2 linked regions of the Tribolium castaneum genome follow. The protein of the gene in region 2 purifies or fractionates together with the protein of the main gene of each other region. This does not show direct contact. Links are inferred from orthologs where the notes say so. Each region holds a gene or a part of one and is shown on either strand. Other genes may lie near its edges.

Region 1 (4,431 bases), on a different chromosome or scaffold from region 2:
TGTAATTAAGAGTTACTAGGAATTAAAACATTAGGGGAAAAATACTTTAGCTTCTCTTAAAATCAGCTCATTTCTGGCATCACCAAGTGCAATAAAAATTTCCTCAGTTGGCGAATTCAGAAAATCGGTGGCTGTTTTTGGCTCAATGATTTCCTCCTCCATGTCACTCTCAGTGTGCGACACTTCTTCACTGGTTTCCTCCTCACTGTCCTCAGACTCATCCCCGCTTAAACTTCCCAAGGAATTTAATTTGCCTATTTGTTTAATTTCGGTTTCAATTTGTTTACGACCGTCTTCCCCAAACTGATTTCCGTTCAAATTTAACACTTTCAATTTACTTTTATTCGCCATGGCTTTAACCAACTGAAGCCCCCCTTTCAGGCGAATTTCGTTGTGCCCAAGTGTTAACTCCTCCAAGTTGGCATGACCAGTTTTTAAAACATTTGCTAGAGAAATAGCTCCGGCAGTTTTCAGCAAACAGTCGCCAAAATTGATTTCTTTCAACTGTTGCAAGTGTGGGAGGGCTTTAGCAATGGCCTCAGCCCCCTTTTCACCAATCGTATTGTCATTCAAGTTTAAAATTTGCAGATTTTTATTTTGGGTAAAAGCCTCAGATAGTGCCGATATGCCAACGTGGTAAATACCATTCTGGGGCATTGCTATTTCTTCAAGTGTACCAATCATCTGTGAAGAAATATTGTTTTGTCAAGTTATAGGTCACTGATTGGAAATTTATTTTACCTTGAAAACCTCAGCAAGTGCTTTTGCACCTTCATTCTCAAGTCGGTTTCTTCCAGCGATAAAAACCTTGAGCTGGAGTGGTTTTCCCGTTTCTTTACTAGAGTTATAGCAGTCTGTTAGGGCTGACGCTAACAATTTACCACCAGTGATGCCTAGGCCGTTATTATTTAACCTGAGTTCTTCTAAAGCATAGCATGAGGAGCTTCTCAAAAGAGCAGCAAGTCCTTCGACACCAATTGGGCCGAAAGCATTGTCACTCATGTCCAGTTCAGTCAAGCGGGCACCTGCCGTTACTAAACCACTACCAAGAAATTCCTGAAATTTTGACTCAATTTTTTTGTTTGTATATAATTGGTTAGATTATACCAAAGCTTTCGGTATTTCTGTTTTCATTCTGCCCGTAAACATGTCCTTCCATAGCGCTCTCTTAAACTCGGGATGTTTTTCCAATGCTTTGGCAATGCCTTTGGACGCTTCAACTCCCAAAGTATTGCCTTCCAAGTTTAAAAATTGGAGGTTGGTGCATTTTTCTATCTCTTCAATTACGCTTTTTGCTGCGAGTTTGATAAATTTATGTCGATTGGTGCAATGGGGTTTGATATAACCTTACCGTCATCAACAGTATCAAGTTTTAAAGACTGGCCGGCAAAGGTGACCCCAGTGGGGCTCACACGAGTGCCTTGTAAGGCACTTGTAAGGTCGTCTACATTGGTATTTGTCATTTTTATTATTTACACAATACTACAACTATTATTTAATAAATTACAATCGCTCACGCGTGTCAAGCCGTTGGAATTTTTTAAAGTTGGTTCAGATATTCAGAAATTCTCGATTTTGACCTTAAAGTGTTTGACGTTAGGTGTCATTTTTCTGGACTGTCAGTTTAGGCATGTAAAATAGAAAAGTTCCTAAAAGAGCTTGCTTCCTCGATATACGAGGAAGGATTAAAAAATTTTACCACAATGCAGTAAGCATCAAACCTATCTTATCTTATTTTTAACAACGTTAAAGATACCTCTTCTCAGATTGTTAAGAATTATAAAAAAATATTGTGGAATCTTCTTACAAAGAGCGAGTCATTATTGAGCGAAGATAATAATGAAAAGTGTCCAAATACTAAAAAAACATGATAGTAATAATTTTCCTCATATGTGAGATTACAAAGAATAGTAATTATAGTAGTCGTCGTCTGCGAATAAAAGAAATATTGGACAATAAAGAATAAATCTGGCATTAAAATTGCTGTATTATTACTTTGAGTTTTAACACTATTTCAGCTTTATTGGTCGTTTTATGGGAGAAAACCTAACACATACTGGATAATGAAGAAGTATTTCTGAGCGTATTACATGTTACTGAACTATTTTCAATAGAAATAGCGTTAAAATTAGTAAAAAAATTGTTGTTAACACTGTTCTTTTACCAAACAATGCGTAAGTTACGAGCTGATATGCGTCAACCATTTTGCGAATTTTTTTTTTTGGTTGGTAAAAGTTGTCAATGTAGTGTCCGGATTCAGGAATAACACAAATTGTGGTGCTTTTTTAAATAATCTATTTAATTATGTTGTTGTTTTATACGTTTGGAGAAAAAATAGTGTATATTACTCGGACTGCAGTCGGCAGTCAAGCAACTAGCCTTGGCACATATGTATAACGCTTCGCTTATACTCTTAATATCCTAATAATACAATTATATACGACTATCTTCAATAAAAAATGTTTCCGTTTCAATCTCAATATAGAAAACCAATGGCAAAGTCCAGATAGACAACAAACTTTAATTTCGACGATTTCGCGAGCTTTAGAAGTTCCAACGTGTCTTTTAAAAATATTTTTTGGACATATTGAGGTCTGCTTTAGTACGGTCTGGTAGAAAAGTAAAATAGGTTCACTTTCTTAAGAACCATTTGGGTACAAATGAGTGACCTGTTACCAAGACAACTCAATCCCAAGAGCACGCTATTTTCACCAGGATGGACAGTGAGAAACTGTACAGCTTTTACATACTGTGCAGGTATATTTTTTATTGATCTTTCAGCGTCAAAAGATTTCATTTGTATTTTTTTATATTTCAATTTATTTCTAGTTTTTAATAATAGTTAGTCATCATATTTCAACAGTGAAATGCTGAATCAGAATGAGTGGAAGAACTGAAAAATAACTCATTCCACCTTCGTTTTCACCAATAATTTTTATTTTTATGCCGTGTTATTTGTATCACAAACAATTAATTATAGTAATTAGTGCAAAATGTCTATAAATCCATTGTACATGACTTTGTATCAAACATCCAAGTCATTAAAACTTGCCAAAAACTTGTGGAAACAAGTATTGATGTGTCTAGACCTATCTAAACTTTTTATATGATAAATATTTGAAAGTCATATCTTATGATAGGTAAGTGTGTGCACGAATTACAGCTATCAATTTGTATTTATACTTTAAAACTTTTATAAGCCAGAGTCATAGTTCAAACTTCAGTAGCGTGTTATCCTCCCAAGCGGTGCGGTCTCATCGTTTGTAAACAATTTAAATACACAACCGGCATTTAACGCGCAAAACATGGGCCTAATCATCAAACTAGTTCTAGTGATTATCACAGTCCTAACAGCTTACCAAATCAGTAAACTGTTCGAAACCCCACCTGTTCCAAAATTAGAAAACACTTGGTGGGGCCCCCGCGACCCCTCGAAAGAAGACACCGCGATCAAGCCTTTCAAAATCAATGTCTCTGACGAGGTAAACAAAAACACCAAACCAATTAGCGTACAAATAAACAGACAACAAAAATATCACTCAATCAAGTTCTAGGTCACCGTTTATTGTCGCGAACGTCGATTGCATAATCTCATGTTTTAGGTTCTCAAGGACCTCCAGCACCGCCTGGCCAACGCGCGCCCCTTGGTGCCCCCACTCGAGGGGGCCCAGCAGCACTACGGCATGAACACCAAGCTCCTGGGCAAAATCATCGACCACTGGAGGACCAAATACAACTGGAGGGAACGCGAGAAGTTCCTCAACCAGTATCCCCAGTTCACGGTCAGCGTCCAAGGACTCCGACTACACTACATCCACGTCAAACCCCCAAGTCCTGGAAACCTCAAAGTCCTCCCGCTCCTCCTCCTCCATGGCTGGCCCGGATCAGTCCGGGAGTTCTACGACATTATCCCCCTCCTAACTAAACCGGCCGAAGGCCGCAACTTCGTCTTCGAAGTCATTGTCCCGTCACTTCCCGGTTACGGATTCTCGGAGGCGGCAGTTCGCCCCGGTCTGGGTCCGATTGAAATGTCCGTGGTGTTCAAAAACTTCATGAAACGGATCGGTTTTGACAAATATTACATCCAAGGGGGCGACTGGGGGGCGCTGATTGTCCAGAACATGGCCACTTTGTTCCCGGAACATGTGCTGGGGGTTCACTCCAACATGTGTTTCGTTAACACCCCGTTATCCAACTTGAAACTTCTTTTGGGCAGTATTTACCCTCCCCTAATCGTTTCAAAGGAGATGGAATCGAAAATATATCCGCTCTCGGCTTTCTACTCAAATATTTTGCTGGAAATGGGGTACATGCACTTGCAAGCCACCAAGCCCGACACCGTGGGGGTGGCTCTGAACGATTCTCCGGTGGGCTTGGCGGCCTATATTTTGGAGAAGTTCACCACTTGGACCAACGCGGACTGGAAGGATT
Region 2 (4,500 bases):
TCTCAACACGTTAATACTTGAAAATCTCACGAGAACTATTCGCTACGTTTCAAGAATTCGGAATCAATCCGATTAGATTTCGGACAATGGAACATGCTTTGTTTCTTTTATAATCGTTTAGGATTTTATTCTAGTCTTGAAGCACAAAGTTCTGCAAAAAAGCCAGTCTATCTAATCCCCTAATGGTGCCACAGGATACTATTGTACTATACACCTGCTCCAATTTGGATGAAGCACCCTTAGGGACATCCCTTTTTCGTTTTTTATCTTTCATTTAGGGCGGATTTTACAATCGTAGGATTACTTTATCTAAGAAATAAATTTTGAAAAATACATTGTTATAACAATTGTAACCATAGTAATTATACTAGAAATAAATTATCTGGGGTTTATCTGACGATTATAAAATCCACCCTTGATGAAACGTTGAAACTCATTCAAGTATTTAAGCAAAAATAATTTATTATGTAAATATGTTGTAAATATTTTATTATGTAAATAAAAAAAGAAGAAATACTGCTTTATTTTGAATTTTTTTCTAGGAACGGAATTATAACTATGTTACAATTGTGAATTAGTGGGATAAACTCATTCAAGAAGTATTTGGGCGAAAAAAAAATTATTATGTAAATGAAAAAGAATAAATACAGCTTTATGCTGATTTTTTTTCTAGGAACGGAAATTGATTTAGTCACAAATTCTGAGTTAGTGATTTTTGTACCGTATTTTCAGCCACTTCTCATTTCCTAACACATTATTTATTTGAAAAAAAATAGGATACAATAGCTCCAGTATTTTGTGCCCTCTTCAGTTTAATTCAAAAACTTACGAAAATCTAATTTTGTACAAAGTGTTAAACAATCAAAATTTATTGAAGTTTGTTATTTTGGGAATTAAACCTCCGAGGAATTTTGCAACCGATCAGACAGTTGTTACACAATTTCAAAGTAAGACAAGCTTCGTAAATTTAAAACTAAAACAGCATTACACGATCAACAATTTATATTACTCCTGCATTAAACAACAAAACTAATAAATTTAGAATAAATCGCCACTGAAGAGCATATAATTTTTCAATTTTTTAACGGTATTATTTAGTATTTCTTTTCATTATTATGTCTTGTATCAATTCCATAAGATTACTACATAAAACAAAAAAATATAATAATTATTGTACTATGAGGAGTCATTGATTGTTTAAGGTGCAGAAAAACAAGACAATCTGCTTGATTTACAAGCATTTTTGCCAAATTACATACACATTTAAGTGTTCTGGTCCACTCCTTGTAGTTCTTCTGTCTTCTTAAACTAACTGCATTGTTTATGGACAGCAAAATCTTGCAATGCTTGTCCAGCTATCGCTTTACGAAGCTTCGTAACTGCTGTAAGGACGCACCTTTGAGAAACCTCCTCTCACTTTGATAATACAAAACAAAAATTATGTAATCCCATGGAAATGTTTGTATGTGATTTTTTTTTATTTTTATACACTTCAGTGACTTAATTATAGTCAAACAATAATATTAAAAGGTTGCCAAATGCAGAATTCAGCCACAATGCAACGAAGCCACATGTAATGCTACTTAAGTTTTAAACAAATTATCGCGAAAATTTGGGACTTTGAAATTTGCGTAACAACAAATTTCGTTAATAATTTTCAAGTACTTTTATTCCATTGTTGGCAGAAAACCTCTTTTTTATTCAAGTGACAATCTCCGATAACCAGTCACCCTCATATGCATTCACGTTCATAACATGATGACTACAAAAAATAAATTAGTTCAACATTACCCAATGTACGCCTCTTGGTCCTTGTATTTGTTGCATAATGGATTTCCATTTAAAACAATATCGACGATAGGTAGTCCAATAAAAGGGTCCAACATTGACAGATCCTTAAACTGAATCCCCAAATTTACAAAATCCCCGATTTTGGGCAACAACATTACCTTATTATTTCCTAGATGCAAAATTTTTAAATGGGGCAGTTTCTCATTGGTCTTCTTTAAATACGACAAGTTTGCTATTTTGTTATCGAATAAATTAATCGCTTCAATTTCTGGGATATTCTCCGCGATTATTTCCAAAACTGTTAGAAAAATGATCGGTTTGAACAGTACACAGAAATTGTCTTGTAGGTCAGGGTCGGCGTGGAATTTCGTTAAATCGAGCGCTTTATTAGCGGCATTGTACCGCTTAGCCATCGTTAATTTAATTTTCTCCTTCATCTCACTATTAACGTCAACATTTGGCATCCCATGACTGACCTTAATCAGCAATTTAAACCCGTCGGGCATTTGAATCTGGCGATCTAAATCGTACAGCTTTTCCGCGGCTTTAAACTCATCCATGTAAAAAGTGGCAGTTGTGCCGTTTACACTCCACTGGAGACAAAAAATCAGTCAAAAACCCTCACACAAACAAACCATTACCGTAATTGGCCACAAGGGCAAAGGTTGGATCCGCTCGAGCAGCGTCTTCAAGACGAACGCCTTCTCGTATTTATTCCCAAACGGCAACTAGCAAAACACGTGTAAAACCCCCAAAAAGCCTCACTTAATACACTTACTGTCACGCGGTACCAACCGAAGGGGCTCTCCAAAAGCCGCCGTTTCTTGTGATTGGGCACGGGCGAGTCCCCGCGACCGCCCCGTCTGCCTTTAAACTGCTTCCGGTTGAAGTTTCGCCCGCCCCCGGACGAGGCCCCCATGTCAATGTCTTCATCTTCCAGGTACGCCCTACTCGCCGCTGCCCAGTTTCTATTGTCCTTTTTATACTTGTTTGACTTGAAACTCACTTTGCGGGTCTCGCCACCGCCGCGAAAATCATGCTCTGGCAATTTACTGCGTTTTAAACGAATCGCGTGGAGTGTGCTGGGGACTTACCACTGTATTGGCTTCTCCACGACGGTTTGTTGTATTTTCCGCCCTTTGAGGCCATAGTAGCGTCTCAATTACTTACTAGCACTTAACTATAACTATTATTGTTTTTTTAATAATTTTTTTGAGCCTGATTTAACACCACTTCACTTTCGACAAGTAAACGCCATTGATACGCGCTGCCAACAAGGCGAGGCCAAATTCCCTGAGAAAATCACCGACTTTTGAATAGTAGAGTACAGGAAATTTGTAAGGTTCTGACTTGTTTTTTAAGACGCCAAATATTCTGGCCCAGAAGTAACATTTTATACTCTACTCTAGATTCACTTACAGGGTGATTCAATGAAATGCAATGGTGGGGAAAACATTTATTATAAAATTTCTCAACAAAACGTATAAATGCTTCAATCAACGTCCATCCTATTAACAGTAATGTCGGTGCGCTGGTTTAGAATCTTAACGGCCATTTTTGGGGTGAAGCTGACCACCCCAACCTCCTTGAGGGCTCTCCCGCGGGAGTCCTCAATACCTGTGGCCCCCTCAAGAGCCAAGAGAGTCTCTCGTAGTAGCAAAGCGGACCCTTTAGTTATATTTAAAAGATTGCAAGCTTCAATCAGTCTGCAACAGTTCTTATTTTCCACTTTACCGACTGAGTAAATAACTTACTGGACGAAATACGTTTCGGGCCTTTCGGTATATTGCGAAAATAACGGCAGTAAATTCCTTGTTACGTCATACTTTAACTGCAAAGCGCCTCCAGTGTTAAATCTATTATCAAGGACAAGATCCTCAAAGAGGTAATTATCTAATTGTTGCGCAACCGAGCGCCAAACTATCGTAAAAAGTTTCGAAGCTAGAGTTTTTTGCAGTTGGTGTAGTCGTTTAGCCACGATTTCGAAAATAGGGCAGGCTGTGGGTGTTAAAGACAGGCCTTTGATGTCTTTACCGACATTCATAGAGGACCACCTTTCCCTCCTGTAGGCTTTACCTTGTGACCTGACTTCCAACATGACATAATCTGATAAATTAAATAACAAGTCGCGTCTCATGTGCCTATAGAGTGATAAAGTTTCGGCAAAAACAGTTTCACCCTCAATATCCGTGGGGTCAAAGTCGTCCGAATCACTTGACGGGCTTGTGGGTGCTTTGTAGTCATTCAACTGGCTTTTGTAGTAGTATAAATTCAAATAGTGCTGAAACACTTGCATAAGTATAGATAGTGCCATTTGATTGGCTGAAAGTCTGCGTTCAGCCAATCAAATCGCACGGTTCGAGCCAGCCGTACCAACATTGCCCCCCAATCAACTAAAACATTCTCGATGTAATAGATCGTGTTAGCAATCGTGGGGATCTTCGATTCGACTATATTTTCATGTTCCGCGTTAACCAGTTGCAATAATCTTATTCTAAAATCATCCAGTAACTCTAACTGGAGGTCTAAGAACTGCAAGCGGTGGCCGGGTTGTGGCAATGCCTCGTAACGTTCCGTGATTGTCTGAAGAAGCGTTATAAAAGCATCGGCACATGTTGTTATTTTCAGCTCTTCAATATCGTAAGTTAGCGGCTCGAAAGGATCGACTGTGGCTGAGGACATCATCGCGTCCATTTTTTCCATAGCATC

What was found.
Region 1: the proteins of nuclear RNA export factor 1 (region 2) and RanGAP purify together in Homo sapiens (co-immunoprecipitation; 3 studies listed by BioGRID and IntAct, with this or other methods). This does not show direct contact. The link is inferred for Tribolium castaneum from reciprocal best matches to the Homo sapiens genes NXF1 and RANGAP1.

The regions. Positions count from the first base shown.
Region 1 is NC_087394.1:31,333,299-31,337,729, reverse strand, and holds the start of RanGAP (ran GTPase-activating protein 1), read right to left. Parts: upstream 3,048-4,431; 5' UTR 1,464-3,047; coding exon 1,352-1,463; intron 1,296-1,351; coding exon 1,108-1,295; intron 1,057-1,107; coding exon 742-1,056; intron 685-741; coding exon 46-684; intron 1-45. UniProt on the Homo sapiens protein: GTPase activator for RAN. Converts cytoplasmic GTP-bound RAN to GDP-bound RAN, which is essential for RAN-mediated nuclear import and export. Mediates dissociation of cargo from nuclear export complexes containing XPO1, RAN and RANBP2 after nuclear export.
Region 2 is NC_087399.1:3,670,770-3,675,269, reverse strand, and holds the start of nuclear RNA export factor 1, read right to left. Parts: upstream 3,078-4,500; 5' UTR 2,941-3,077; coding exon 2,886-2,940; intron 2,833-2,885; coding exon 2,570-2,832; intron 2,520-2,569; coding exon 2,433-2,519; intron 2,385-2,432; coding exon 1,950-2,384; intron 1,902-1,949; coding exon 1,792-1,901; intron 1-1,791. Other genes in the region: Rint1 (RAD50-interacting protein 1), read right to left, coding at 3,284-3,497, 3,546-4,072, 4,165-4,499.